Linked DNA regions of Anolis sagrei. The protein of the gene in region 4 purifies or fractionates together with the protein of the main gene of each other region. This does not show direct contact. Links are inferred from orthologs where the notes say so. Each region holds a gene or a part of one and is shown on either strand. Other genes may lie near its edges.

Region 1 (7,857 bases), on a different chromosome or scaffold from region 4:
GGAAACAGTGAGCGAGACATATACACACAGGCAAAGAACTGCCTCAGAGATTGGAGAAAGGCACATCTTAGGACAGGTAAGAATTAGAATTGTTTGACACCTCTTTAACTGCCATGGCCCATTGCTAGGAAATCTTGGGAGTTATAGGTTGGGATGGCACTAGCCCCCTTTGGCAGAAGAGGCTAAAGACCTTCCCATAATTCTATAGAATTGACCCATGGAAGCTAAAGGGGCTGTCAAACTGGATTAACTTTACAATATAGATGCATCGATTTCCCAGGGTAGGATCTATACTAAAACCAACAGAGTTTGGATCTGCTATATTGGAAACCTTGAGTGAGACATATACACACAGGCAGGGAACATCTTTGGAGATTGGAGGAAGAAACATTTTAGGACAGGTAAGAATTAGAATTGTTTGGCACCTCTTTCACTGCCATGGGCCAATGCTAGGGAATCCTGAGAATTGTAGTTTGGCATGGCACCAGCCCCCTTTGGCACAAAAGTCTAAAGACCTTCCCATAATTCCATAGAACTGACCCATGGAAGCTAAAGAGGGTGTCAAACTGGATTAACTTTACAATGTAGATGCATTGATTTCCCAGGGTAGGATCTACACTAAAACCAACAGAGTTTGGATCTGCTATACTGGAAACCATGAGCAAGACATATACACACAGGCAAAGAACTGCCTCAGAGATTGGAGGAAGGCACATCTTAGGACAGGTAAGAATCAGAATTGTTTGACACCTCTTCAACTGCCATAGCCCAATGCTAGGGAATCCTGGGAGTTGCAGTTTGGCATGGCACCAGCCCACTTTGGCAGAAAAGGCTAAAGACCTTCCCATAATTCCATAGAACTGACCCATGGAAGCTAAAGAAGGTGTCAAACTGGATTAACTTTACAATGTAGATGCATCGATTCCCCGGGGTAGAATACATACTAAAACCAGCACACCTATTGGAGATGGCTAGTGAGACATAGACACATCTTAGGACAGGCACTTTAAGAGTGTATAATGCAGGCATGGACCAACTTGGAACCTCTATAATTCTACAGAACTGGCCCATGGAAGCTAAAGGAGGTGTCAAACTGAATTAACTTTACAATGTAGATGCATCAATTTCCCAGGATAGAATACATACTAAAAGCAACACACCTATAGGAGATGGCTAGCGAGACATTGACACATTTTAGGATAGGCAAGTTGAAAGTGTATAATGCAGGCATGGGCCAACTTGGGACCACCAGGTGTTTTGGACTCCAACTCCCACCATTCCTAACAGGCTCCTTCTCCCCCTTTCCCCCAGCCGCTTAAGGGGCCTGAGGCTGTTAGGGATGGTGGGAATTGAAGTCCAAAACACTTGGAGGGCCCAAGTTGACCCATGCCTGCTGTAGATTTATACTAAAACCAGCACAGTTTAGATCTGTTTATATTGGAGATGGCTAGCGAGACATTGACACATCTTAGGACAGGCAAGTTAAAAGTGTATAATGCAGGCATGGGCCAACTTGGGACCACCAGGTGTTTTGGACTCCAACTCCCACCATTCCTAACAGGTTCCTTCTCCCCCTTTCCCCCAGCCGCTTAAGGGGCCTGAGGCTGTTAAGGATGGTGGGAATTGAAGTCCAAAACACTTGGAGGGCCCAAGTTGACCCATGCCTGCTGTAGATTTATAGTAAAACCAGCACAGTTTGGATCTGTTTATATTGGAGATGGCTAGCGAGACATTGGCACATCTTAGGACAGGCAAGTTAAAAGTGTATAATGCAGGCATGGACCAACTTGGGACCACCAGGTGTTTTGGACTCCAACTCCCACCATTCCTAACAGGCTCCTTCTCCCCCTTTCACCCAGCCGCTTAAGGGGCCTGAGGCTGTCAGGAATGGTGGGAATTGAGTCCAAAACACCTGGAATGGAGGGCCCAAGTTGGCCCATGCCTTCTGTAGATTTATACTAAAACCAGCAGAGTTTGGATCTGTTTATATTGGAGATGGCTAGCAAGGCACTGACACATCTTAGGACAGGCAAGTTAAAGGTGTATAATGCAGGTATGGGCCAACTTGGGACCACCAGGTGTTTTGGACTCCAACTCCCACCATTCCTAACAGGCTCTCCCCCCTCCCTCAGCCAATTAAGGGTCCTGAGGTTGTTAGGAATGGTGGGAACTGAAGTCCAAAACACCTGGAGGGCCCAAGTTGGCCCATGCCTGCTGTAGATTTATACTAAAACCAGCACAGTTTGGGTCTGTTTATATTGGAGACGGCTAGCGAGACACAGACACACAGACAAGGAACTTCCTCGGAGAATGGAGAAAGTAGGAGGCATTTGGAAGCCCCTTCCTCGCTAGAAGGACGACTAGGCCGAAGAGGAGAAAGCAAAGCTCAGAAGAAGAGTCTTGGAAGTGGGGAGAAAAGGTGGGAAAGTATCCTAGTGCCACATTGGAGGGGCCATCTACACCGAGCATGGAACGCAGTTTCAAACCGGTACAGAAGAAAGTGCAGGCGATTGACAAGAGGACATCCATAGGAACCCATTTGCGGCCCTCGGGGAGGCGCACGTTGAGGGCGTCCTTTTGCGCGCTTTTGTGGGCATTCCCCCCTCGGTTTCGACCCGCATTGAATGCTGAGTGCAGACGGGGGCCCTGAGGGAAGCGGGAGAAAGGTCTAGATTGGGCTGAACGGGGCGGGGAGGCGGAAAGAGGCCCAGAAAAGCCCGCAAGCCAGGCAGGCAGGAAAAGGGCGGCAAGTTCAATATGCGAGGAACGGCTGAGGCGAAGGAAGGAAAGAAGGAAGGAAGGATGGCGGCGTGAGGCGGGGAAGGAGACGGAGAAGAGGCGCCAAACAGGCTCCTCGTCGGGAGCCCGAGGCGGCGAAAAAAGGGCCTTTTTCTGTCCCTTACCTGGAAAGCCGTGGCGGTGGGGCTGGAGCCGAGACAAGGCAGAGCCTCCTCTCTCGCCCTCGCTCTCTCTCTCTCGCCCGCCGCGCTCGGACACCACAGCCGTCGCTCGCGCCCGCCGCAGCCAATCAGCGCCCGCCGTGGGCCCCCTCCCTCCCTCCCCTTCCGCAACTCCCCCTCCCACCTCCCCTTCGGCGGCTTCAAAATGGCGCCAACTCGTCTCTTTCCGAGGGACCCCGCCGCTGAGCGGAGAGGCCGGCGCCAAAGTGAGGCAGCAGCGGCCCCTGCAGGTTGGGAGAGGAAGCGCAGGGCGAAAGCTCAACCAGGCATGGGCAAACTTCGGCCCTCCGATCCCCCTGCAGGTTGGAAGAGGAAGCACATTGCGAAAGCCCTTGGAATGGGGCTTATTTATTTCTCATGTCAGGGCAGCCAGTCAATTATGTTACATTTCTGACAGAACAAAGCAAACAAACAGAGAAAATACAAAATGTGTGAGTTTGGTAGTTGATTAAATGCCCTTTGACCAGTATCAAGGTGCTGGCGTTAGCCTATAAAGCCTTAAACGGTTCTGGCCCTACTTACCTCTCCGAACGCATCTCCACCTATGAACCGACCAGGACATTAAGATCGTCCAGGGAGGCCCTGCTCTCGGTCCCGCCTGCGTCACAGGCACGGTTGGCGGGGACGAGAGACAGGGCCTTCTCGGTGGTGGCCCCTCGGCTATGGAATGCCTTACCTGTAGACATCAGACAGGCCCCTTCGCTGCTGGCGTTCCGGAGGAAGGTTAAGACCTGGCTCTACGAACAAGTGTTTGGCTAAGCAGTGCAACTGAACACAGGAAGACAGTAAAATTGAACATAGGAAATGGTACAAGGATTATGAGAACGGATTCTGATTTGTTAATGAGGCGTTATGATATGATGTTGATTGTTTGATTTTGTCTGCTGTATATGATGTGTTTTAATCGCTTTATTGTTGTGATAACCCGTATTGTATAAACCGCATTGAGTCGCCTAATTAGGCTGAAAAATGCGGTATAGAAATAAAGCAAATAAATAATAAATAAATATCTGCCCACTTGGAGTGCTTCTGGTGTTGCTGCAAGAAGGTCCTCCATTGTTCATGTGGCAGGGCTCAGGTTGCATTGCAGCAGGTGGTCAGTGGTTTGCTCCTCTCCGCACTCGCATGTCAAGGATTCCACTTTGTAGCCCCATTTCTGAAGGTTGGCTCTGCATCTCGTGGTGCCAGAACGCAGTCTGTTCAGCGCCTTCCAAGTCGCCCAGTCCTCTGTGTGCCCAGGGGGGAGTTTCTCATTTGGTATCAGCCATTGGTTGAGGTTCTGGGTTTAAGCCTGCCACTTTTGGACTCTCGCTTGCTGAGGTGTTCCAGCGAGTGTCTCTGTAGATCTTAGAAAACTATGTCTGGATTTAAGTCGTTGACGTGCTGGCTGATACCCAAACAAGGGATGAGCTGGAGATGTCTCTGCCTTGGTACTTTCACTATTGGCTGCCACTTCCCAGCGGATGTCAGGTGGTGCGATACTGGCTAGACAGTGTAATTTCTCCAGTGGTGTAGGGAGCAGACACCCCATGATAATGCGGCATGTCTCATTAAGAGCCACATCCACTGTTTTAGTGTGGTGAGATGTGTTCCACACTGGGCATGCATACTCAGCAGCAGGGTAGCACAGCGCAAGGACAGATGTCTTCACTAAACCAGCATTTCTCAGCTTGGGGGGAGGGGGGGAACATGACAGAAGCCTTCTCGCAGGATTGCAAGACATCCGGGCATCCCCTGGGCAACGTCCTCGTAGACAGCTGATTCTCTCACTCCAGAAGCGACCAGAAGCGACTTGCAGCATGCAAACAAGCAAGCAAATTTTATTTTTTATTTATTTCGAGTACTTCAACCCCCCCCTCAACCCCCTAGGGGGGACTCAGGGCGGCTTACAACCAGCACAATTCGATGCCAACAATTCAACATAGCAGCAGTAATCACAAATAGTTAAAAACAATCAATTAATACAATAACAACTAAAAGTAAAGCCAATCTAGTGGCTAACATTCACTGAGTTCTAAAAATCCGTAAGTCCATTCAGCATTATCATAGTCCTTTCCAAACTCTGGTCGTCATTACCTTCTCAGTCTGTCGGATTACCCAAAGGCCTGGTCCCATATCCATGTTTTCAACTTCCTTCTGAAGGAAAGAGGGGATGTTGATGACCTAATTTCCCCGGGGAGTGAATTCCACAGGCGAGGGGCCACCACTGAGAAGGCTCTGTCCCTCTTCCCCACCAGCCTCAATTGTGATAAAGGTGGGGCCGAGAGCAGGGCCTCCCCAGAAGATCTTAAGCTCCGAGGTGGGACATAGAAGCAAACAAGCAAGCAAAACAACCAACGGACCTTTTCAGGACCAACCATAACAATAATCTCAATCAACATGTCAGCTGCCAAAGAACAACTGCTCTATAAACTGTGCCAAGATAAGAAATGTGATGTGCTGTGTGTCCAAGAAACACACAGGAATTAACAACAGAAATGACCAAAAGTTCCAGGAATGGTCTTAGTAGCAGAAAGACCACATGCGCAGTATAGAAGCGCTGTCTTTATAAAACCAGGCCTCCAAGTCAGCAGTGCCCACAATACTGAAGAAAACAATGTCGAGGTTATAACAGTAAAGTTTAATAACATCACCTCTGTGTACAACCCCCCAAATGAAGAGTTCTGCTTCTCCTCCCCCAAGAACTTTGACAGGCACCAAAGGGCGGTAGTAATTGGTGACTTTAACAGCCATAGTCATGTATGGGGCTATGCTCAAGAGGACAGAAATGGAGAGGCTGTCCTGTCCTGGTCTGAACTGCACAAACTATCACTCATCCATGATAGCAAGCTCCCACCATCCTACAACAGCAGGAGATGGCACCGAGGTTATAACCCAGACCTCTTATTTGTAAGCGACAGCTTTGAAAGGCAGCAGATCACAGGAGCTGTCTTTATAGACCTGTCAGTGGCTTATGATACTGTAAACCACCGCCTCCTCCTGAGAAAAATGTATAATATCACAAAGGACTACCATCTCACCCGCTTCATAGGAAACCTGCTACAAAACAGGAGCTTTTTTGTTGAGTTCCAGGGCCAGAGAAGCAGATGGTGGAAACAGAAGAACGGCCTGCCTCAGGGAAGAGTGCTTGCTCCATCCATGTTCAACATCTACACAAATGACCAGCCACTGCCAGAAGGGACAGAGAGTTTAATCTATGCAGATGATTGTGCCATTACCGCTCAAGCAGGGAGCTTTGAGATGGTTGAACAGAAGCTCTCCAAAGCTCTAGATCAGGCATGGGGAACCTTCGGCCCTCCAGGTGTGGTGGACTTCAACTCCCACAATTCCTTGAGGCCAAGGTAAGCCTTTGGGGCGAATGCCGAGCCTCAAGGAATTGTGGGAGTTGAAGTCCACCACACCTGGAGGGCCGAAGGTTCCTGACCCCTGCTCTAGATGCTCTTACTGCCTATTACAGGGAAAACCAGTTGATCCCTAACCCATCTAAAACACAGACATGTGCTTTTCATCTCAAGAACAGACAGGCATCCCGAGCTCTGAGGAAGAACAGACTGCTGAACAGACTGCGCTCTGGCACCACGAGATGCAGAGCCAACCTCAAGAAATGGGGCTACAAAGTGGAATCCACCACATGCGAGTGTGGAGAAGAGCAAACCACAGACCACCTGCTGCAATGCAACCTGAGCCCCGCCACACTAGGCATGCATACTCAGCAGCAGAGTAGCACAGCGCAAGAGCAGATGTCTTCACTGTATCTGGTTGTGATCCCCAGGTTGTGCCAGTCAGCCATTCAATGATGCCATTCATCCATCTTGCCCTTGGTCAGCCTCTCTTCCTTTTTCCTTCAATTTTCCCCAGCATAATTGTCTTCTCTAAGCTTTCCTGTCTCCTCGTGATATGGCCAAAGTACTTCAACTTTGTCCTGCATATCAGATATTAAATTACGACTCATAACAGTCCACATCAGCTCTAGTTAAACATATACCACCCAATAGTCGCCATCTGCTCACCCACAGAAAACCATATTTAGTAATCGAGAGTTATGGACCTTATTTTAGGTCTTGCGGCCCACAGGTTTGGAATCAAGCATGGGCAAACTTTGGCCCTCTGACCCTGCAGGTTGGGAGAGGAAGCGCAGGGTAAAAGCCCTTGGAATAGGGCTAAACCAGGCATGGGCAAACTTCTGTCTTCTGGGTGTTTTGGACTGCAACTCTCACAATTCCTAACAGCCTACCGGCAGTTAGGAATTGTGGCAGTTGCTGTCCAAAACACTCAGAGGGCTGAAGTTTGCCCATGGATGGTAAAGTTCATCAAACTCGCAAGACATGAGTTTGACCAATGTAATCTACACTATAGAATTAAGAAAGTTTATTTATTTATTTACATTTATATCCCGCTCTTCTCACCCGAAGCGGACTCGGCGTCTTACATAATTGGCATTATTCCATCCCCAAACAACAACAAGAATTTAAAGCAAGTAACACTTTAAAACAACTTTAAAACAATATATGTAAACATTAGATGACTATTGTGCATAGATTCAAAGCCAGCTAATCAAACAATCATATTCATCAATCCAGGGTCAATTCCCACCATGAACATTCCACAGAAATATAAATCTCACTTGCCTAGTTTCCAACAGACATCTCAACCTCAGAGGATGCCTGCCATAGATGTGGGCAAAACATCAGGAGAGAATGCTTCTAGAATGTGGTCATACAGCCTGGAAAACTCACAGTAAACCAGTCAGAGGTTTATTACAATTTGGTCAGAAAGGATTGAAGTACATGCAATTTGCTTCTGAAGGAGCAAGCATAAACATACAGAGAAATGCAGGACATCTTATACAGTTCTGGTTTCCCACTCCCTCCCCTGATTGGCTGAAAAAGAGGCTGAC
Region 2 (7,183 bases), on a different chromosome or scaffold from region 4:
AATTCAAATTCAATTCCAGACAGCCTGGAACAACAGCTAAGAATGCTGGGAACCAGAGCCCAAAGCACCTGGAAGACAAGGGGCCCTTCCACCCAGAATATCAAGGAAAGAAATCCAACAATATCTGCTTTGAACTGGGCTATCTGAGGGCCCTTCCAGATAAACCCTATATCCCAGGATCTGATAGGTCAACAGGCAACTTAAGGACACACATAGACAAGGATTAGAGATAGTAGGAAATTACACTTTCCAATTCATAGCAGAACTTCCCGGCGGATGTCAGGTGGTGCAATGTCGCCCTAGGGCTGAGAATTGCGGTATATAAGCGCAGTAAATAAATAAATAAATCTCTTTTTTTTCAAATTTCAGGAATATAGTAAAGTGTTTTGTAATGACCAGTTGATCCAAATAACTGTCAACTCAACTGGAAGCTGTGGCTCTCCAAGGCAGTGACATCTCCAGCTCATCCCTTGTTTGGGTATCAGCCAGCACGTCAACGACTTAAATCACGAAATAGTTTTCTTAGATCTACAGACACTCGCTGGAACACCTCAGCAAGCGAGAGTCCAAAAGTGGCAGGCTCAAACCCAGCACCTCAATCCGTGGGTGATACCAGATGACAGATCCTGGGATATAGGGCCCTTCCACACAGGCCCTATATCCCAGGATCTGATCCCAGGTTTTCTGCTTTGAATCGAATTATGTGAGTCTGCACTGTCAGATGAACTGGGATAACCAGAAAACCTGGAATCAGATCCTAGGATATAGGGCCGGTCTGGAAGGGCCCCGAGTCCACACTGTCATATGATGGTTGAATAAAAAGCAATGCCTCCACCTTCGAAACTTGTCAATAGATAGCAGTACTGGTAGCCAGTACAGTTCCATTTTGGTGGGAAGCCTTAGCATTAAACAGTTGTGTTGTTAAAGTGCGAAGCATGGAACCCTGCAGAGATGGTCGGTCAATGCGACTTAAGCAACGTGCAGTCATTTAATTCCTGACAGCAGGTGTCACCTCAACATCTTTAAACTTACTCGCCCAACGACTCAGTTCTCACATTAACACAATCACCATAAACAGCTTGCATTCTCTGATGAATCTCCTTAGGGGTGCCACCTTCTGCTGTCAAGAATTCAATGACTGCACGTTGCTTGTCACATTGACCAACCACCTGCACAGGGTTCCATGCTTCGCACTTTAACACAACCATTCAATGATAAGGCTTCCCGCCAAAATGGAACTGCAGAGGAGCATCTACTGAACAAGCCAGTACCTGCCACATACCAGTACTGCCATATGTTGAGTTACGACAGTGGAGGCATTACTTTTCATTCAACCCTCATATATCCCAACTCAAAGCAGGAAATGTGGGATTTTATTCAGCAGTGTGGATAAGGCCAAAGTTTGGGAAACAGTGGATTAAAACACGACTCTGCCCTCAAAGAAGTCAACAATGCTAAAAAAAAGAAAGAACCCACAGGAGGATTCTAAAGGAAAGCTGTTTTTCTGAACAGCAGACAAATAGTACCCGTTAAAAGACTGATCACTTGAAAGATCAGGGAGAGCTTTGAAAGATCATAAGTATGAATCATTAAATTCGGCTGTTGTAGGTTTTTTCGGGCTATATGGCCATGTTCTAGAGGCATTCTCTCCTGACATTTCGCCTGCATCTATGTGGAAGCTCTAGGTGCTCTTACTGTCTATTACAGGGAAAACCAACTGATCCCTAATCCATCTAAAACACAGACATGTGCCTTTCACATTAAGAACAGACAAGCATCCTGAGCTCTGAGGATTACCTGGGAAGGAATCCCACTGGAGCATTGCTGCACACCCAAATACCTGGGAGTCACTCTGGACCGTGCTCTGACCTACAAGCATTGCCTGAATATCAAGCAAAAAGTGGGCGCTAGAAAAAATATCATACGAAAGCTGACTGGCACAACCTGGGGATCACAACCAGACACAGTGAAGACATCTGCCCTTGTGCTGTGCTACTCTGCTGCTGAGTATGCATGCCCAGTGTGGAACATATCTCACCACGCTAAAACAGTGGATGTGGCTCTTAATGAGACATGCCGCATTATCACAGGGTGTCTGCGCCCTACACCACTGGAGAAATTACACTGCTTAGCCAGCATTGCACCACCTGACATCTGCCGATAGTCAGGTAGCAGCCAATAGTGAATGGACCAAGGCAGTGACATCTCCAGCTCATCCCTTGTTTGGGTATCAGCCAGCACGTCAACGACTTAAATCACGAAATAGTTTTCTTAGATCTACAGACACTCGCTGGAACACCTCAGCAAGCGAGAGTCCAAAAGTGGCAGGCTCAAACCCAGCACCTCAATCCGTGGGTGATACCAGATGACAGACTCCCCCCTGGGCAGACAGAAGACTGGGCGACTTGGAAGGCGCTGAACAGATTGCGCTCTGGCACCACGAGATGCAGAGCCAATCTTAAGAAATGGGACAAGCATCCTCAGAGGTTGTGATGTCGTTTAAGGATATTTAATCATTTAATTTGCAACAATTAATAATGTAAAGATCACAATTAGTCATTGTTTATAATAGTTGCCTATTGATAAAGAGGGCGAGGAGACTTAGACCAGGCCTCCTCAAACTGCGGCCCTCCAACTCCCACTGAACAAGCAGGCGAGGGCTTCTGGGAGTTGGAGGCCCCAAGAGCGGGAGGCCTGCCTCGGACAGAGAGGCCGAAGGAAGGATGGAAGGAAGCCCCCTCCTCCTCCCGAACTCCTGCTCTTCCTACCTCCAGGCTCCGCTGCAGGAGCGCCGCGTTGGGCTGGGTGCGAGCCGCCCGGTACTGAGAGGCCGCCAGGAGCAGCGACTTCATGCAGGCCGAGGCGTCCATGCCGCCGCGGAGCGCCAGTATCACCAAACTTGGGCTCCCGGTCTCTCTTTCACTCTCCCGAAATCGTATTTGGCGCCTTGGCCGCCATTTTGAGGCCGCGACCGACCACGACGACGCCCCTCGGGAGCACTTCCGCCCAGCCTGGTGCATGCTGGGAAGGCGCGAGGCGGCTGCCTGATCTGAGGAGCGCGCGCCTTCCTCCAGGCAGCAGAACCAATGCAGTTGGAGGAATGCCCTTGGACTTCTAAGGCCTTGCAAGACTACAAATCCCACAATTCCATGTCAGCTCAAGTGGTATCAACCTGCATTCATTCTACAGTGTAGGTGCACCCTCAGTCTCCAAAGTGAGGCACTTAAAAGTGGTGCCAAAGCTGCATTAGCATAGTAATTCAGGCATGGGCAAACTTCAGCCTTCCCACAACTCCTAACAGCCTCAGCTCCTTTCCTTTTCCCCTCAGGGGTCTGAAGCTGTTAGGAATTGTGGGAGTTGAAGTTCAAAACTTCTGGAGGGCCAAAGTTTGCTCATGCCTTATCTAGGTAAAGGTTTAAGTCTAGTCATGTCCGACTGAGCGTTGGTTTTATCTCAATTTCTGAGCCGAAGAGCCGGTATTGTCCACAGACACCTCCAAGATCATGTGGCCAGCATGACTGATAGTATGATAGCTGGGTCCAGAAGCTCCCAAGTGTTAAGGAGATGATGCAAAGATGATAAATAAGGGAAAAGAGAGGGCAGAGTGAGAGCAGAGAGAGCGAAGGAAGGATAGAAAGGAGGGGACGCTTAGGATAAGGGTTAGGGCAAAGTTCAGGATTTGGGTTAGGGTTAAGGTTAGGGTACGGGTAAGGTTTAGGATTTGGGTTAGCATAAGAGTTAGGGCAGGGGTCCTCAAACTAAGGCCCGTGGACCAGATGTGGCCCTCCAAGGTCATTTACCCGGCCCTCGCTCAGGGTCAACCTCAGTGAAATTATTTGAAAGCACACAACAAGAACAACAATCCTATCTCATCAGCCAAAAGCAGGCCCACACTTCCCATTGAAATACCAAAAAAAAAAAACCAATAAGTTTATATTTGTCAGTATTGTTTTAAAGTGTTTTTTGCATTACAAATAAGATATGTGCAGTGTGTATAGGAATTCATTCTAAATGTTTTTTTCAAATTATTATCCGGCCCTCCAACAGTTTGAGGGACTGTGACCTGGCCCTCTGTTTAAAAAGTTTGTGGATCCCTGGGTTAGGGTAATGTTTAGGGTTTGGGTTAGGGCAAGGTTTTGGGTAAGGGGTTAGGGTTAGGCTTACGGTACGGTTCACGGTTAGGGTAAAGATTAGGGTTTCACCATTAAAGAACTCTTACATTCCTTCTATATTATCTGTCTTCGGCCTGGCTTACATTAGCTAAGTCTCTCTTGCACAAACAGCACTCCCGAACAAGCGATGCGGCATCTCTGTAACACTCGGAGCTTCCGGACCCAGCTATCATATTATTTCCAACATGACTGCATGGAGCGTTGTTACAGTCCTACCAGAATGGTACCTATTGATCTACTCATTTGCATGTTTTCGAACTGTTAGGTTGACAGAAGCTGGGGCTAACAGCAGGAACTCACACAACTTTCCTGATTCGAACAGCTGACCTTTCAGTCAACAAGTTCAGCAGCTCAGCGGTTTAACCCACTTCAGGCATGTGGGCCCCCTGTGATGCATTGGGTTAAACCGCTGAGCTGCTGAACTTGTTGATTGAAAGGTCAGCTGTTCGAAGAATTAATGCTGTTTGGCACCTCTTTACCTGCCAATGCTTAAGTTTTAAAGAATCCTGGGATTTTTAGTTTTGTGAGGCACCAACACTCTGGAAGCAAAGGTCTTGTAAAACCGAACCCTCAGGATTCAATGGCATTGAGATACGGCAGTAAAAGTGGTGTCAAACTGCATCAATTTCCTCAGTGTAGATGCACACATCTTTGAGGATTCCTTGCCTAAGCAACAAGGCCACCCCAGATTTTATATTCTGTCACCTTCATGAGAGTTTAGCCTTCCTTTTTTATTTGATTTCTTAATGCAGCTGCGCTCTTCTCCTTTCAGTTCTCAGGGACCCATATTTATGTATAGTTTATTTATATAGTTTTTGCCACAAAAATACAGTAGTATTGAATATGTTGCAAGTTGCCACAGAACTTTATTTTTCTACCCTGCCTCCATCTCCCCAAGGGGACTTGGGGCGGCTTACATGGGGCCAAGCCCAAGCAACATATAGTTAAAAGCAAAAAGAACAACAAATTAAAATAGCACAAAACAGCGTAACAGTAATAAACAAGTATCAAGCAACAGCAGACCAATTTTGGAGGGAGGAAGGAGGCCAACATACGAACTGATTAAAGGATAAATGGTTCAATAAGGTGGGCGAAACATATAATGGCACAGGAGATATCATGGAAACAGAGCTGAAACTGTGAAGACTATTGTGGGTAATAATGAATCCCCTTTCAATAGCACTCTGCACATCTACTGTAGTAAAAACAAGAGTTCTTCGTTTTCTTATGTTTCTTCATTGCGGTGGTCATCCATAGACTCTACAGATAGGGATTTTGTATTGGCACCATTCTGCTATTTTTCTGTTGTTTTTTAATTCATTTATAAACTTCCCTGAGAAATTTGCAACAGGAAAGTATAGGGAATCCCCAAGTTATGAGCAAGGGAGGTTCTGTAAGTTTGTTCTTAAGTTGTCTTTGGTTCTAAGATGGATCAGATTTCTTTTTAAAGTGTAACTCCAGCCAGGATATATATTTAGAGAGAGAGAGAGAGAGGTGGAGCCCCCAGTGGTGCAGTGGGTCAAAGCGCTGAGCTGTTGAACTTGCTGACTGAAAGGTTACAGGTTTGGATCTGGGGAGCGGCATGAGCTCCCGCTGTTAGTCCCAGCTTCTGTCAACCTAGCAGTTCGAAAACATGCAAATGTGAGTAGATCAATAGGTACCGCTCCACCGGGAAGGTAACAGCTCTCCATGCAGTCATGCTGGCCACATGACCTTGGAGGCGCCTACAGACAATGCCGACTCTTTGGCTTAGAAATGGAGAGGAGCATCACCCCCCCCCCCCAGAGTTGGACACAACTGGATTTGGACTTAATGTCAGAGGGGAACCTTTACCTTTACTATAGGTATAGATATATATGTATATGTATATTCTGGCTGGAGTTATACTTAAAAATGCATGCTTTGGATAGCATAGGGAAGGATTAACTCCCCTGTGGTCTTTGTTTTGCGCTCCGTGCTAAACATTGCAGAAGATTTCACCTCACTTTATGTCCTTGTGAGAATTGGATTTTGAAAATTTTGACTTGTTACGGAAACAAAGATTACTGAGAAAGCTTCAGTGGAGACATCTCCCCCCCCCCCCCCCATGATAACTGTCATGAGCAAATTTTTCTTCCAAGGGGAAGATTTCTCTCACTTCCAGTTGTCTCACTCCCCATAACCATTTTGATTGCAATTGTTTTCCAACTTATTTTTATTAAGAATAATTTGGCTCCGAGAGGTTGGAGTGTGAAGAAAGTTTGTAAAATCATGATAGGTTTATATCAAAAGTGTGAGAACAATATGAGAAGGAAAGTAGGAAAGGAAAGAGACGGGGGTTGGGGAGTGGGAAGTTGAAAAAAGGTAGTAATAACAAAATAAATTAAGGGGGGGGGGGGGCAAGAAGAAGTTGCATGTAACTTCCAGGCTGTTTTAGGTTGTGTTAACCTAAGAACTTTTTTCTATTGTGTTGCAATTATTTCCTATTACATCATTGTCTAGTGAATTTGCATGATCTGTAAGTGTTCCTGAAATAACCTCCATATTTCTTTGGTCAACTGTACACTTACCTTTGATTTATAGAACTGTGTTATATGGCAGTGTAGACTCATATAATCCAGTTCAAAACAGATAATGTGGATTATCTGCTTTGATAATCTTGATTATATGGCAGTGTAGAAGGGGCCCAGAAATCAGTGAGATGTTATCAGATAGTGTAACTTTTTACAATAATAATAATAATAATAATAAGACTTTATTTATATTTTGCCCTATCTCCCATAGGGAGATACAGTTATATTGAGATCCCTTTAGTGGTAATTTCATCCAGCTGTTTTATCTGTCCATTTGGAATTACTCCAGAGTGCAATTACTACTAGAACCCAAGTTGTCTTCTATTTATTTGTTTCTTTCTTTCTTTCCTTTCCGCCCCAGGAACTTACCAATGTTGAATCCAGCTAAAAGTTCACATTGTTGAAACATACAAAACTTAAAATAGGATTATCAATATAATTAAAAACATTTAAAGAGTT
Region 3 (7,777 bases), on a different chromosome or scaffold from region 4:
TCTTTATTGGGAGGGTATTAGCTGGACCTGATTGTTTCTTGTCTGGAAGTAGCCAGTTTTTGAGTGATGTTTTTTATTTAGTCACAAGACCTAGGTGAGTGACCAAATGCACCTCACTCTCCAACTGGATCTGCAAAACTCCCCTATATATCAAAAGCATTGCATAAATTAGTATAAAAACTGACAAAAATAGAAGGAGCACAAGTGGCTAAATATCTTTTGACCAAAAATTGTCAACAGCAATCACATTGTCTGTAGCTTCAAACAATTCTTCCCTCTGTACATGAGACAGGACATTGCAGACAAGCATACAGATGCGGAGTTGTCTGTTCTGCTCCACAGTCACACAAGGTGAAGGATTCCTTTAGGTAGTGCCATTTTGCCAGGCTGTCTTTTGATCTGCCCACTCCACTTCTGAGTCTGTTCTTGGTTTGCCCCTGGAGGCAGACCCTCGTAGGGGATCATCCAACTGGGGTTTCCTGGTTTAGCTGCCCATAGGGATACTCTTGCTGTGGTTGAGAAGTTAAGAGGAGTAGTGATTCTCACGAAGCTTTTCTTGGATTTGAGTCTACCAGGGAAACTCCCAATTCCACAGCATAGAGCCTAAGGCAGTGAAAGTGGTGTCAAGCCACAATAATTCTACAGTGTAGATGCACCCCCAAGAAGCAAGTCGGGCATGTTTAGCCTGCAGAAGACAAAGCTGATAGGAGACATAATGAGGGCCATGTATAAATATGTGAGGGGAAGTCATAGAGAGGAGGGAGCAGGCTTGTTTTATGCTGCCCTGGAGACTAGGACACAGAACAATGGCTTCAAACTACAGAAAAGAAGATTCCACCTGAACATTAGGAAGAACTTCCTAACTGTGAGAGCTGTTCAGCAGTGGAACTCTCTGCCCGGGAGTGTGGCGGAGGCTTTTAAACAGAGGCTGGATGGGGTGTTGTAGGTTTTTTCGGGCCATATGGCCACATTCTAGAGGCATTCTCTCCTGACGTTTCGCCTGCATCTATGGCAAGCATCCTCAGAGGTAGTGAGAGGCTGGATGGCCATCTGTTGGGGGTGCTTTGAATGCAATTCTCCTGCTTCTTGGCAGGGGGTTGGACTGGATGGCCCACGAGGTCTCTTCCAACTCTAGGATTCTATTCAACACATCACAATAGAGTATGAGTCCACTTTAAATCCGATTGCTGCCTCCTGCAGAATTCTGGGGTTTGTAGTTTAGTGAGGCTGTTAAAGGCGCCTCCCTAAACTACAAACCCCAGAATCCTGCAGGAGGCAGCAACTGGATTTAAAGTGGATTCATTCTCTCTAATGTGATTGAAGTAGCATGATGCTAGGACAGTTGTGGTGTGATGAATTAGATGCTACTTCTATTATTGTATGACAGTGCATGTATTGACAAGTGTCAAGCCACTGTCAAGTCACTGCTCTCCATGGAAAAGCATGCCATTGTGTCATAAACACCCAGGGTTTTGTTTTTGTCCTGTCAGGAGCAACTTGAGAAACTGCAAGTCTCTTCTGGTGTGAGAGAACTGGCCGTCTGCAAAGACGTTGCCCAGGGGACGCCCAGATGTTTTGATGTTTTATCATCCTTGTGCATGTGGCCACATGCACGATGGAGGACCTTCTTGCGGCAACACCAGAGGCACTCCAAGTGGCCAGATCCTGGTCAAAGGACATTTAATCAGCTACCAAGTTTGCAAAATTTGTGTTGTTTTTTTATCTGTTTGTTTGTTCTGTTCTGTTGGAAATGTAATACAATGTTCTGGTTGCGGATGACACGATAAATAATAAATATCATCCTTGTGGGAGGCTTCTCTGGTGTCCCTGCATGAGGAGCTGGAGCTGATAGAGGGAGCTCATCCGCGCCCAGGGTGGCATCCTAGCAAAACAAGGCACCCCAGGTTCACTTCCTGACTGAAGAGGCAAAAGTTTAAATCTGGGGCGGAGGGGGGAGGAAGGAGGGGGGAAGGGGAAGTGCGAAAGTCACTCCCACAGCTCTTTCTTGACGCACGCTTCCTGCAGAGTCGACCCCCCCCCCTTCTTTCCCTCCCTCCCTCCCTTCTTTCCTTCCTTCCTTCCTCCCCCAGATTGCAACGGCAGTCCCAACAGTCTCTCCGGGTGGGCATCTGTGCAGGGCCCACGATGCCCCGCTGTCCTCCTTCCCCGCATCAGCCTCCCTGCCTGCCTGCCTGCCTTTCCCCCCTCCTCCCATTTCCCGGCTCCACAGCATAGCAACGGGGCTTCCCTTAACGTTCCGACCTGAGGCGCCCAGGCCCGAGCCAGGATGACACAGCCGGCGGTGCTCCTCTGAGGGAGACGAAGAGGCAGGAAGGAAGGAAGGAAGGACGGTCCTCCGGCTTCCCCTTCTTCTTCCTCCGCTGCCTCCTCACAGGCCGCTGGCGAAGGATGAAGGGAGGAGGAAGAGGGGAAAGCGCATCCTCCTCTCAAGTTCCCTCTTCGCAGGACCCTCTCTCTCTCTCACTCACTCCACATTCACGCCTCGTCTTACCCGAATCTTCGTCGCCCGCCAGCGGGCTCTCGTCGGTTCGTCGCCTCTGCCTTTCTTCGTCTCTCTCTCTCTCTCTCTCTCTCTCTCTCTCTCTCTCTGAGATGGAGGAAAAGGAAGGAAAGGAGGGAGGGAGGGAAGGGGAAAAAGAGATGGAAAGACACGGAAACAGGAACCCGCTCGCCGTTTTAGCGGGAGCCTCTGACGAGACTGGAGGAGAAAGAAAGAGAGAGGAAAGAGACCCTCCCTGACAGACAGAACAGAGAGAGAGAGGGAGGGAGGGAGGAAGGGAAGAGCGAGGGAAAGAGGGAGGGAGGGAGGGGGAGTTAAAAACGGAACGCGCGCGCGCACACACAAACACTCGCTCGCTCGCGCCCCCTTCCTGCGCGCGCGCACCAAAGGAACCTTCAAGGAACGGTGGTGGGCGGGCGCGCGCGCGCGCTCGCGAGAGAGAGAGGGAGAGAAGGTATTATTGGCCCTCGGCGCGTCAAGACTGGAGTCCAAAGGAACCCATAGAGAGGAGGGCGTGGCCTAAAGCGCGCTCTGGCTGTTTTTTAGGAGGGCAACCAATGAGAGAGGCGCCGCGTGAAATCTCCAGGCGGGCGGAACGTTAGCTTCACAAACCCGAGCGAGCAAAGGCGATGAAGAGCGGGCAAGGCGCATGCGCGCTAAGCAGCCGACTCCCCTTCGCCCTTCCCTTTTCGGTCCTGTCTGTTTAGGCGTTGGGTTCGGAGTCGGATGTGCTGGAGGGAGGGAGGGAGGGAGGGACGGGAGGAGGACGCGGGACAGGGCCATTGGTGGGCCTGTTTCTCCCCTCTCAGCCTCAGCGTTGGTCTTCTGCTGCTCCCGACCCCTTCGCTCTTGAAATACTTCATCACACTAGAGCAGGCACCCTCGAACCGCGGCCCTCCAGCTGCTTGGGCCTCCAACTCCTAGAAGCCCCAATGAGCTCGTCCAATTGTCAGGAATTCTGGGAGTTGAAGGCCCAAAAAGCTGGAGGGCCGCAGTTGGAGGGTGCCTGCATTAGAGAACGAATCCACTTTAAATCCGGTTTCTGCCTCCTGCAGAATTCTGGGGTTTGTAGTTTGTGAGGCTGTTAAAAGCTCCTCCCTAATCAGAGCTCTGCTCCATGGAAGAACCGTTCTGAGCAATGTCTGGGGTCTGCACAAGTTACAGCGCGATGATTCCACTTTAACTGCCATGGTTCCAACCAGGCCCGTAGCCAGGATTTTGATGGGGGGGGGGGGGGACTGAGTTTGCTGGGGTGGGGGGGCGCTCAGGGTCTACCCTAGCAAACCTTTTGCATCGTTATCCCAATGCCCCATGCATATGGGATATATTGAGCATGGTGATCAGATCATGATATGAATAAACATAACAGTTTAAATAATGTACCAGTAAGGCCTTCTCGCAGACCACCCTGAGAATTGGGGGGGGGCTGAAGCCCCTCAAGCCACCCCTCCCCAGCTATGGGCCTGGTTCCAACCCATGGAATGTGGGAATTGCCAGTTTAGGGAGGAGGATTTCAGATTCCCAGCCAGACAGATGTGCCTCTGACCAAACTACAAACCCAGGATTCCATAGGATGGAACCATAGTACTTCAAGTGGAATTGTAGCACTATAATTGTGTAGTGTGAATAGGCCCAGATTTTATTAGGCAGCCTAGAATCTAGAGCTGTGGTTCTCAACCTGTGGGTCCCCAGATGTTTTGGCCTACAACTCTCCAAAATCCCAGCCACTTTACCAGCTGTTAAGATTTCTGGGAGTTGAAGGCCAAAACATCTGGGGACCACACAGGTTGAGAACCACTGATCTAGATGAACCATTGTAAGTCATTTTGGGAATGGGTAAAGAAGGGATCACAGTTAAAATAAAGAGTGCTGCATGGAGTCCTAGACACCCTAAATGCACCAGATCTAATAATAATAATACTGGGATCTGCACGCATTAATCGCCGATACATCACACAGTCCTAGACACTTGGGAAGTGCGACGTGTGATCCAATACAACAGCCAGCAGAGTACCTGCTGTGGACTCATCTTGTTGTGTTTCTAATAATAATAATAATAATAATATAATGATTCATTGCAACTTGTGCCACAAATACCATCTGCCAGCAACAAAGAACTGGTGTGATCACAAGCCTAAAAAAGTTACAGAAAAACAACACGTCAAACTAGTCTGGGACTTCCGAATTCAGACAGACAGTTTTGGAGCCCAATACTCCTGACCTCACGATCGTGTAAAAAAACAAAATATGGATTGTTAATGTTGCCATCCCAGGTGACAGCAGGATTGAAGAGAAACAACTGGAAAAGCTGACATGATATGAGGATTTAAAGATCGAACTGCAAAGACTCTGGCACAAGCCAGTCAAGGTGGTCCCAGTAGTAATCGGCACACTGGGTGCAGTGCTTAAAGACCTTGGCCTGCACTTAAACACAATTGGCGCTGACAAAATTACCATCTTCCAGCTGCAGAAGGCTACCTTACTGAGATCTGCAAGCATTATTCACTGATACATCACAGTCCTAGACACTTGGGAAGTGTCTTACATGTGATCCAATACAACAACCAGCAGAGTGTCTGCTGTGGACTCGTGTTTCTAATAATAATAATAATAATAATAATAATAATAATAATAATCTTTATTTATAGACCGCTTTCTCTCCCCGAGGGGACTCAGGGCAGTTTACACACAAAAGAGGCAAACATTAAATGCCTAAACATCTCAAATAATGCAAAATAATAACTGTAAACTTACAACAGCAGAGAAATTAACATCAGAATGGGAAACAGAGTGCGAGTAATAAACATAATTATACGAATATCATAGTTAACGACATAAACCATAAGAGGGGGGCATCCAGTTGTGATTACCTGATAGACGAGTGGTGGTTCTTTTTCTTGATTTAAAGCCTACTGGGAGAACGCTGATAGCCACACAGTTGGTGGTTTTCACAGTGTTCAACCTTGTTTCTCTCCCAATTGACAGCAACTTCCTGTTGCACATTGGGGAGGGGGGGCAATGCCAGCTAGCTTATAAAGTCTATCAACAGCTGTAGGTTTAAGACATCCTGTGATTATTCTACGTGTCTCAGTGTCATTCACCTCCTTCTCGTGGGCAGACTTGTGCCAGATGGGACCATTAGTGAAAATACCTACAATTTTAAAAAGTTAATAATAAATAGATTTATATCTCGGTTCTATCATTAACCAAAATGGAAGCTGTAGTCAAGAGATAAAAGGATTTAAGCTTTGGGCCCCATCTATACTGCCAGTTTGAAACTGCATTATATGGCAGTATAGATGGGCCTTTGGAAGTGCAGCTAGGAAGAAACTAAAGATGTTTCATTGAAACCAAAGTTAGGCTCACCCACCCTTTACTATTTCTAATCTTAGTGTATAACCTGGAAGGCTGGAGAGTATAAAAAATTGGCCAGGGAAAAATTAACTCATTTGAAATGTGCTGGAGGAAAATTTTATCGATACCCTGAACTGCCAAAAAGATAAACGAACCAATCTGGGAGAAAATCAAGTCTGAATTTTCACTAATGGCTAAACTAACTATCATAAACGACTAAACCTCGGGCTATTGTATTTTGGACACATAATGAGATGACATGAATCTTTAGAAAAGATGATACTTCTTGATTAAGTGCGTGACAGCGGGCAAAGGAGACCACATTAACTTTGACAGCAAGGCTATTGATGATGAGGGTGGAGGCGTGTTCATTAAAAGTAGCTTGATGGCAAATAACACCAACAAAGAACCATACAAGACCTTAAAGGGTAATGTTAAAATCTGTTAAGTTAGGAAGTATAGACAGTCCTCCACATTCGCTGGAGTTAGGGACATAGGATCCCCAGAAACCGAACAAAGGGGAGAGGAGGCGGAGTAGCCTTATATGTCAAAAACTCATGCTGCAGAAGAGATTCAAGACAGCAATCTGGGAAACCAGCTTGAAATCATCTGGATAAGAATCAAGGGAACTGGGACTCAAAAAGATGTCGTTGTAGGCGTCTACAACAGACCCCCAAGCCAGGAGGAAGAACTTGATGAAGTCTTCTGCCAACAGTTGACCAAACAGGCACAGAGAAGAGATGTAGTAGTCATGGGCGATTTCAACTATCCCGATATTTGCTGGAAAACAAACTCGGCCAAGAGTACAAGGTCCAACAAATTCCTCACTTGCCTTGAAGACAATTTCATGGTCCAGAAGGTAGAAGAGGCAACAAGGGGATTGGCTACTCTTGATCTCATCCTAACAAATGCGGAGGACCTGATCGATGCGGTCGAAGTGGTAGGATCCTTAGGGGCAAGTGACCATATGCTCCTGCAATTTGAGGTACAAAGGAAGGCCGAAACGAAGACAAGTCAAACCCGCATTTTGGACTTTAGGAGAGCTGATTTCCAAAAAATGAAGGAAACACTGAGCAGCATTCCGTGGACACAGATACTAAAAGACAAGGGAGTTACGGATGGATGGGAATTTCTCAAGAATGAAATACTCAAGGCGCAATTGCAAACCGTGCCAACAAAGAGAAAAAATAGGACAAGTGCAAAGAAGCCAGAATGGATGTCCAAAGAACTTCTAACTGTGCTAAGACACAAAAGAGACATGCACAAGAAGTGGAAAAAGGGAGAAATCAGGGAGAAAAGGGAGAAGAATTCAAACAAATAGCCAACACCTGTAGGGAAAAGGACCGCAAGGCTAAAGCAAAAAATGAGCTCAGACTTGCCAGGGACATTAAAAACAATAAAAAGGGCTTCTATTCTTATGTCAGTAGAAAAAGGAAAAACAAGGAGGCGATAGGACCTCTTCGAGGAGAAGATGGGGCAATGCTGACAGGGGATAGGGAAAAGGCAGAACTACTTAATGCCTTCTTTGCCTCGGTCTTCTCACAAAAAGAGAGTCTTCAACCTCAGCAAGATGGAGTGGATGAGGGATTGGAGGACATCCAACCCCAAATTGGGAAAGAAGTCGTCCAGGAATACCTGGCCGCTCTTAATGAGTTCAAGTCCCCAGGGCCAGATCAACTACACCCCAGAGTATTGAAGGAACTAGCGGAAGTCATTTCGGAACCTTTGGCAACCATCTTTGAGAGTTCTTGGAGAACGGGAGAAATTCCAGCAGATTGGAGGAGGGCCAATGTGGTCCCAATCTTCAAGAAGGGAAAAAAGGATGACCCAAACAACTACCGTCCGGTCAGCCTCACGTCGATACCAGGCAAGATTCTGGAAAAGATTGTTAAGGAAGCGGTC
Region 4 (7,894 bases):
GAACATGGCCCTATAGCCCGAAAAAACCCACAAGAACCTAGAATAGAAGTTCTTTTGAGGCTCTTGGGAAAGATGGAGCAGAGTTTTTCCCAGACTCCTTCCACACAGATATATACAATCCACATTGAACTGGATTATATGACAAAGTGGACTCAGATGACTCAATTCAAAGCAGATATTGTGGATTATCTGCCTTGATATTCTGAGTTACATGGCTGTTTGGAAGGGTCCAATAAAGGGAAATGGAATAATACAATACACATTTTATTTTGGATCTCAAAGAGTAGGCCAACTACAGCCCTTTATACACTGCCATTTAAGATCCAAACTATTTGAACAGTTTGGGACCGCATTTCTGTGTACGAACCCACACGATCTCTTCGATCATCTGGAGAGGCCCTGCTCTCGATCCCACCTCCATCGCAAGCGCGATTGGTGGGGATGAGAGAGAGGGCCTTCTCGGTGGTGGCCCCTCAACTCTGGAACTCACTCCCTAAGGATATCAGGCATGCCCCAACACTGGCAGTCTTTAGGAGGAGCTTGAAGACATGGTTGTTCCAGTGTGCCTTCCCAGAATAATGAACCCTTAGCATTACCCTTAGATTACTACAGATGCAGACAGTGGCCAGAAGACGCTTATTTCTTGGGAGGAGAGCAATGTCCTGTCTCGATAAAATAGTAAAGAGCAGAGACATCAGACTGGCAACAAAGATCCATTGCCTAGTCAAAGCCATGGTATTCCCTGTAGTCACCTACGGATGTGAGAGATGGACCTTCGGGAAGGCTGAGCGAAGGAAAATCGATGCTTTTGAGCTGTGGTGTTGGAGGAAAGTTCTGAGAGTGCCTTGGACTGCAAGAAGATCCAACCAGTCCATCCTCCAGGAAAGAAAGCCCGACCGCTCATTGGAGGGAAGGATACTAGAGGCCAAGTTGAAGTCCTTTGGCCACATCATGAGGAGACAGCAAAGCCTAGAGAACGGAATGATGCTGGGGAAAGTGGAAGGCAAAAGGAAGAGGGGCCGACCAAGGGCAAGATGGATGGATGGCATCCTTGAAGTGACTGGACTGACCTTGAAGGAGCTGGGGGTGGTGATGGCCGACATGGAGCTCTGGCGTGGGCTGGTCCGTGAGGTTACCAAGAGTCAGAGACGACTGAACGAATGAACAACAACACAGCATTATGTCCTCCAAAAGCACTTTATACTGATTTAGCACTGCTTGTATGTTCCCTCCACGCCCCACCTCCTAAATATGTTTTGTTTCCACTGTTCAATGTTTATGCTATTTGTGTATGAGATTTATTTTAATTGTTTCGCATTAGTATTTGTTTGTTTTGATGTATTGTGGGTTCGGACTCATGTAAGCCGCACCGAGTCCCTTGTGTACCTGGTAGCGGGGTACAAATAAGGTTTTACTATTATTATTATTATTATTATTATTATTATTATTATTATCTGCTTTGCACTGGATTATGTGGCAAGCTAGAGTCATATAAACCAGTTCAAAATAGATAATGCGGATTATCTGCTTTGATTATATGGTTATCATAAGGTTATCAAAGCAGAAAATCCACATTTTCAGATTTGAAATTGATTAAATAGACTAAAATGATCAAGGGTCTGGAGAACAAGCCCTATGAGGAGCGGCTTAAAGAGCTGGGCATGTTTAGCCTGAAGAAATGGCTGAGAGGAGACATGATTGGTAAAGATAGTCCCCTGACATTAAGTCCAGTCATGTCTGACTCTGGGGTGTGGTGCTCATCTCCATTTCTAAGCCGAAGAGCCAGTGCTGTCCGTAGACACCTCCAAGGTCATGTGGCCAGCATGACTGCATGGAGCACCGTTACCTTCCCGCCAGAGCGGTACCTATTGATCTACTCACATTTGCATGTTTTCGAACTGCTATGTTGGCAGAAGGGTGAGAGGAGACATGATAGCCATTTATAAATATGTGAGAGGAAGCCACAGGGAGGAGGGAGCAAGCTTGTTTTCTGCTTCCCTGGAGACTAGGACGCGGAGCAATGGCTTCAAACTACAAGAAAGGAGATTCCATCTGAACATGAAGAAGAACTTCCTGACTGTGAGAGCCGTTCAGCAGTGGAACTCTCTGCCCCGGAGTATGGTGGAGGCTCCTTCTTTGGAAGCTTTTAAACAGAGGCCGGATGGCCATCTGTCAGGGGTGCTTTTAATGCAATATTCCTGCTTCTTGGCAGGGGGTTGGACTGGATGGCCCATGAGGTCTCTTCCAACTCTAGGATTCTATCTTCGTCTACATTGCCACTTAATCCAGTTCAAAGCAGATAATCTGGATTTTTTTATGGCAGTGTAGAAGGGGCCTTTGCCGTTCCGTTTTACTAGCAAACCAGAGGTTAAGACAACGCCTTCTAACAGAGTTGAACATATAAACTGCAACAGTTAAATGTACACAAGCATGTGGACAATTTCAACAGAAAGGAGGAAACCATGAAAATGAACAAAATATGGCTACCAGTATTAAAAAATTCTAAAATTAAAACAGCACAACAACAGAGAGTAAACAATCAGGCACATCTAATCACCTCTCAACAAAAGATTCCCCCAGGCACTGCCACCCCATCAAATGCTAATCAAGGTGGTCAGTTGAAACATTCACACCTAGCTCCAGCAGACAAGAGTTCTTTGTCCCACCCTGGTCATTCCACAGATATATAAACCCATTTTTCTACTTCCAACAGACCTCCCTACCTCTGAGGATGCTTGCCATAGATGCAGGAGAAACGTCAGGAGAGAATGTCTCTAGACCATGGCCATATAGCCCGAAAAACCTACAGCAACCCAATTAAATGTGTGAGGACACAACAGGTCACATGAAAACCATATATAAGATGCATAAAAATTCAGGCAAATTTGTATTGCTCATTTCACATAGCCTACACATATCAGTGTAGGCTTCTACACTAATATATAAAATCCAGATTATCCGTTTTTAAGTGGATTATATGGTAGGGTAGACGCAGATAATCCAAAACATGTGGATTATTTGCCTTGATATTTTGGATTATATGGCAATCTAGAAAGGCCCAAAGTTTAATGCAAGCAAGTAACTGGAAAAAAGGAAACGACTTGTCAAATATTTTATAGCCAACATGGAACACAAAGCTTCAAAATATTTATAAGTAAACTATACAAACTATCAAAAAGCTAAAGAGAAGAACACGCCGTTCTTTTGCCTTTACAGATTTGGTTCTTGGGAAAGACGAGGCTCTGTGTCCATCCCACAACAATAGAAAACCAAAATGAGATAAGCCGCAAACGAAGAACAGTAAAGTCTAATTCTTATTATCAAGTGTTTTCAAAACAATTTACAAATTGTTCTTCTGGTGCTCTCTGTTCTACTGCTGCGGTTTGCGAGATCAATCCTGTTCGTATTTCTTAATAAAGTTTTCCCCTTTTTTTCTTGTTTGCATGCATTTTTGAATCAGTACCATTGTGGATCCTAATTTGCACCGGTCACAGACTGCGAATAAATGCACTTTTGGACCAATGGGATTGCAGATCCCGGCACTGCACCAATCGCCTGTTTCTCATGTTCCCAAATGCATATGAATTCTCTATATAATACCCATGGTCTGTATTTGAAAGACACACTGGATCAATTTCTACTCCTGCCTTCTGCTTGTTTCATTGGACCAACTGGAGACCCCGGGATTTTGGAAAACAGCTGGGTAAGATTTCCTAAAGACTCAAGCTGGTTCTACACTGCCATGTAATACAAATGATCAAAGCGAGTAATCCACGTTACCTGCTTTTAAGTGGATTATAGAAGTCTACACTGCCATATAATCCAGTTCAAAGCAGATAATCTGGATTTTATATGGCAGTGTTTTAAGTGTTGTCAACTGGTTTTAATTCCTTTTTTTAATATAGTGTAATAATTTATTTTGGTACAATGAATTTGGTATTTTGTTATATACATATACACATACATGTCCATACACACATATATATACACTCACATACACATATCCACACATATATATACACTCACATACACATATCCACACATATATATCCATATATACACATACACATAAACATACACATATATACAATACACACATACACATATCCAGATATACACATACACATGCATATAAACATACACATACACACATATATATCCATATATACACATATACATATATACACATATATATCCATATATACACATATACATAAACATACATATATACAATACACACATATACATATGTCCATATATACACATACACATACATATAAACATACAGATATATACAATACACACATATCCATATATACACATACACATGCATATATACAATACACACATGTACACATACACACATATATATCCATATATACACATAAACATACATATATACAATACACAGATACACACATGTCCATGTATACACATACACATGCATATAAACATACACATATATACAAACACACATATATATCCATATATACACATGCATATAAACATACACATAAATACAATACACACATATACACATACACGTCCATATATACACATATACATATACATACACATATATATATATACACATACACATATAAAAACATACACACATACACACATATATCCATATATACACATACATATAAACACACACATATAGGTCCATATATGCACATAAACATACATACACACATATACACATTCACATATACACACACACACATATATAAATTTATATACACCCTAAGAATGCATGCTGCCTCAAGTCCCAATGGGGAAAAGTAGAGAGGGGCTGAGACTGAGTGGAGGCGTGGCTACCGCCTGCGAGGCCCCGCCCCTCCTTCCCTGCCTACAGTTCCCAGCCTGCCTTGCGCGCGGGTTAACCCTTCCGAAGCCGCGGCGCCGGGGCAGTTGCTGGTTGAGAGACGTCGCCGTGGACGAGGAGGAGGAGGCCTCTCTCTCTCTCTCTGCCTTCAGGGCTGAAGGGCGGCATGGAGAGGCAGCAGCCGGGGGGGCCTGGCCGGGTCCCTCTCCCTCCCTCTCCCCAGGAATGCCCCTCCTTCCCTCCCTGCCAGGCGGGGACCCGCGCCCATCCCGACGTGCGCCTGAAGACACGCGTCTTGGAGGTGCAGCATTCGTATCCCTCTCACAGCAGGCCTGGGCCAACTTGGGCCTTCCCTCCAGGTGTTTTGGACTTCAACTCCCAGAATTCCTAGCAGCCTCAGGCCCTTTTGCCCAAAGGGCCTGAGGCTGCTAGGAATTCTGGGAGTTGAAGTCCAAAACACCTGGAGGGAAGGCCCAAGTTGGCCCAGGCCTCTGCTCCACAGCCAAACCCCATCTAACCTGGGCAGAGCCAAGCAGAGGCTGGGTGGGCATCTGTTGGGAGGGTTTCGATGGTGCCTTCCTGCCTTGTGGGGTCTCTTCTGACACTTTGATTCTGGGGTTGCCTACCTTCTCTGCCCCCTCCATGGACACTTGAGGAGATGGACGAGGTGTGAATGAAGAGGAGAGCCATGACTGTCCAGCCTTGCTAGACTTTGCACCTGGGCAAGGAGGAGCACTGTTGTGCCATGTTGTGTACCTGCAAGTCTTTTATGACTTTGCGATGGAAAGACAGGTGCTGTTGTGTATTTGCAAGTCTTTCCTGGCTTTGCGATGGAAAGAGCGGTGCTGTTGTGTACCTGTAAGTCTGTTGTGTCCCTGCAAGTCTTTTCAGGTATACAACTGCAAAAGAACTGCTGTTGTATACCTGTAAGTCTTTCCTGACTTTGTGATGAAAAGAGCAGTGCTGTTGTGTACTTGTAAGTCTGTTGTGTATTTGTAAGTCTTTTCTGACTTTGCGATGGAAAGAAAAGTTCTGTTGTGTATTTGCAAGTCTTTTCTGACTTTGTGATGGAAAAAGTACTGCTGTTATGTACCTGTAAGTCTGTTGTGTCCCTGCAAGTCTTTTCAGGTATACAACTGCAAAAGAACTGCTGTTGTATACCTATAAAGTCTTTTCTGACTTGGCGATGGAAAGAGAGGTCCTGTTGTGTATTTGTAAATCTTTCCTGGCTTTGTGATGATAAGAGCAGTGCTGTTGTGTACCTGTAAGTCTGTTGTGTACCTGCAAGTCTTTTCTGACTTTGCAATGGAAAGAGAGGTGCTGTTGTGTATTTCCAGGTACTTTCTGACTTTTTTGGTGGAAAGAAAAATTCTGTTGTGTATTTGCAAGTCTTTTCTGACTTTGTGATGGAAAAAGTACTGTTGTTGTGTACCTGTAAGTCTGTTGTTTACCTGTAAGTCTTTTCTGACTTTGCGATGGAAAGAAAAGTTCTGTTGTGTATTTGCAAGTCTTTTCTGACTTTGTGATGGAAAAAGTACTGCTGTTATGTACCTGTAAGTCTGTTGTGTCCCTGCAAGTCTTTTCAGGTATACAACAGCAAAAAACCGGCTGTTGTATACCTTTAAGTCTTTCCTGGCTTTGTGATTAAAAGAGCGGTGCTGTTGTGTACCTGTAAGTCTTTTATGACTTTGCGATGGAAAGAGAGGTGCTGTTGTGTATTTGCAAGTAGTTTCTGAATTTGCGGTGGAAAGAAAAGTTCTGTTGTGTATTTGCAAGTCTTTTCTAACTTTGTGATGGAAAAAGAACTGCTGTTGTGTACCTGTAAGTCTGTTGTGTCCTTGCAAGTCTTTTCTGGTATACAACAGCAAAAGAACTGCTGTTGTATACCTGTAAGTCTTTCCTGGCTTTGTGATGAAAATAGACTGCTGTTGTGTATCTGTAAGTCTGTTGTGTACCTATAAGTCTGCTGTGTCCCTGTAAGTCTTTCCTGGCTTTGTGGTGAAAAGAGCGGTGCTGTTGCGTACTTGTAAGTCTGTTGTGTACCTATAAGTCTGTTGTGTCCCTGCAAGTCTTTTCGGGTATACAACAGCAAAAGAACTGTTGTGTACTTGTAGGTCTGTTGTGTACCTGTCAGTCATTTCTGACTTTTTGATGGAAATTTCTGTTGTGTACTTGCAAGTCTTTTCTGACTTGGTGATGGAAAAAGAACTGCTGCTGTGTACCTGTAAGTCTTTCCTGGCTTTGTAATGAAAAGGGAGGTGCTGTTGTGTATTTGTAAGTCTGTTGTGTACCTGTCAGTCATTTCTGACTCACCCCCCCCCATGAAAATTTCTGTTGTGTACTTGCAAGTCTTTTTTGACTTTGTGATGGAAAAAGAACTGCTGTTGTGTACCTGTGATGAAAAGAGTGGTGCTGTTGTGTATTTGCAAGCCTTTTCTGACTTTGCGATGGAAAGAAAGGTGCTATTGTGTATTTGCAAGTAGTTTCTGGCTTTACGATGGAAAGAGAGGTGCTGTTGTGTATTTGCAAGTAGTTTCTGTCTTTACGATGGAAAGAGAGCTGCTGTTGTGTATTTGCAAGCCTTTCTGACTTTGCGATGGAAAGAGAGGTGCTGTTGTGTTGCAGTTTTTTATGACTTTGCAATGGAAAGAGAGGTGCTGTTGTGTATTTGCAAGTAGTTTCTGACTTTGCAATGGAAAGAGAGGTGCTGTTGTGTTGCAGTCTTTTCTGACTTTGCGATGGAAAGAGGGGTGCTGTTGTGTATTTGCAAGTCTTTTCTGCTTTTGCAATGGAAAGAAAAGTTCTGTTGTGTACTTGCAAGTCTTTTCTGACTTTGTGATAGGAAGAGAGGTGCTTTTGTGTACCTGCAAGTCTTTTCTGCCTTTGCAATTAAAAGAGTAGAACTGTTGTGTAGCTGTAAGTCTGTTGTGTACCTACAAGTCCTTTCTGGCTTTGCGATGGCAAGAAAGGTGCTGTTGTATACCTATAAGCCTTTTGTGTCACTGCAAATCTTTTTTGCTTTTGCGATGGAAAGAGACATGCCTTTGTTTACCTGCAGGTCAT

The links.
Region 1: the proteins of SLC30A4 (region 4) and PDS5B purify together in Homo sapiens (affinity purification with mass spectrometry; 3 studies listed by BioGRID and IntAct, counting the BioPlex papers as one, with this or other methods). This does not show direct contact. The link is inferred for Anolis sagrei from reciprocal best matches to the Homo sapiens genes SLC30A4 and PDS5B.
Region 2: the proteins of SLC30A4 (region 4) and CIP2A purify together in Homo sapiens (affinity purification with mass spectrometry; 3 studies listed by BioGRID and IntAct, counting the BioPlex papers as one, with this or other methods). This does not show direct contact. The link is inferred for Anolis sagrei from reciprocal best matches to the Homo sapiens genes SLC30A4 and CIP2A.
Region 3: the proteins of SLC30A4 (region 4) and FUT8 purify together in Homo sapiens (co-immunoprecipitation; 3 studies listed by BioGRID and IntAct, with this or other methods). This does not show direct contact. The link is inferred for Anolis sagrei from reciprocal best matches to the Homo sapiens genes SLC30A4 and FUT8.

The regions. Positions count from the first base shown.
Region 1 is NC_090023.1:33,552,320-33,560,176, reverse strand, and holds the start of PDS5B (sister chromatid cohesion protein PDS5 homolog B), read right to left. Parts: upstream 3,019-7,857; 5' UTR 2,904-3,018; intron 1-2,903. UniProt on the Homo sapiens protein: Regulator of sister chromatid cohesion in mitosis which may stabilize cohesin complex association with chromatin. May couple sister chromatid cohesion during mitosis to DNA replication.
Region 2 is NC_090023.1:46,980,311-46,987,493, forward strand, and holds the start of CIP2A (protein CIP2A), read right to left. Parts: upstream 3,005-7,183; 5' UTR 2,871-3,004; coding exon 2,769-2,870; intron 1-2,768.
Region 3 is NC_090021.1:280,572,235-280,580,011, reverse strand, and holds the start of FUT8 (alpha-(1,6)-fucosyltransferase), read right to left. Parts: upstream 3,004-7,777; 5' UTR 2,513-3,003; intron 1-2,512. UniProt on the Homo sapiens protein: Catalyzes the addition of fucose in alpha 1-6 linkage to the first GlcNAc residue, next to the peptide chains in N-glycans.
Region 4 is NC_090029.1:31,684,740-31,692,633, reverse strand, and holds the start of SLC30A4 (probable proton-coupled zinc antiporter SLC30A4), read left to right. Parts: upstream 1-4,880; 5' UTR 4,881-5,132; intron 5,133-7,894. UniProt on the Homo sapiens protein: Probable proton-coupled zinc ion antiporter mediating zinc import from cytoplasm potentially into the endocytic compartment. Controls zinc deposition in milk.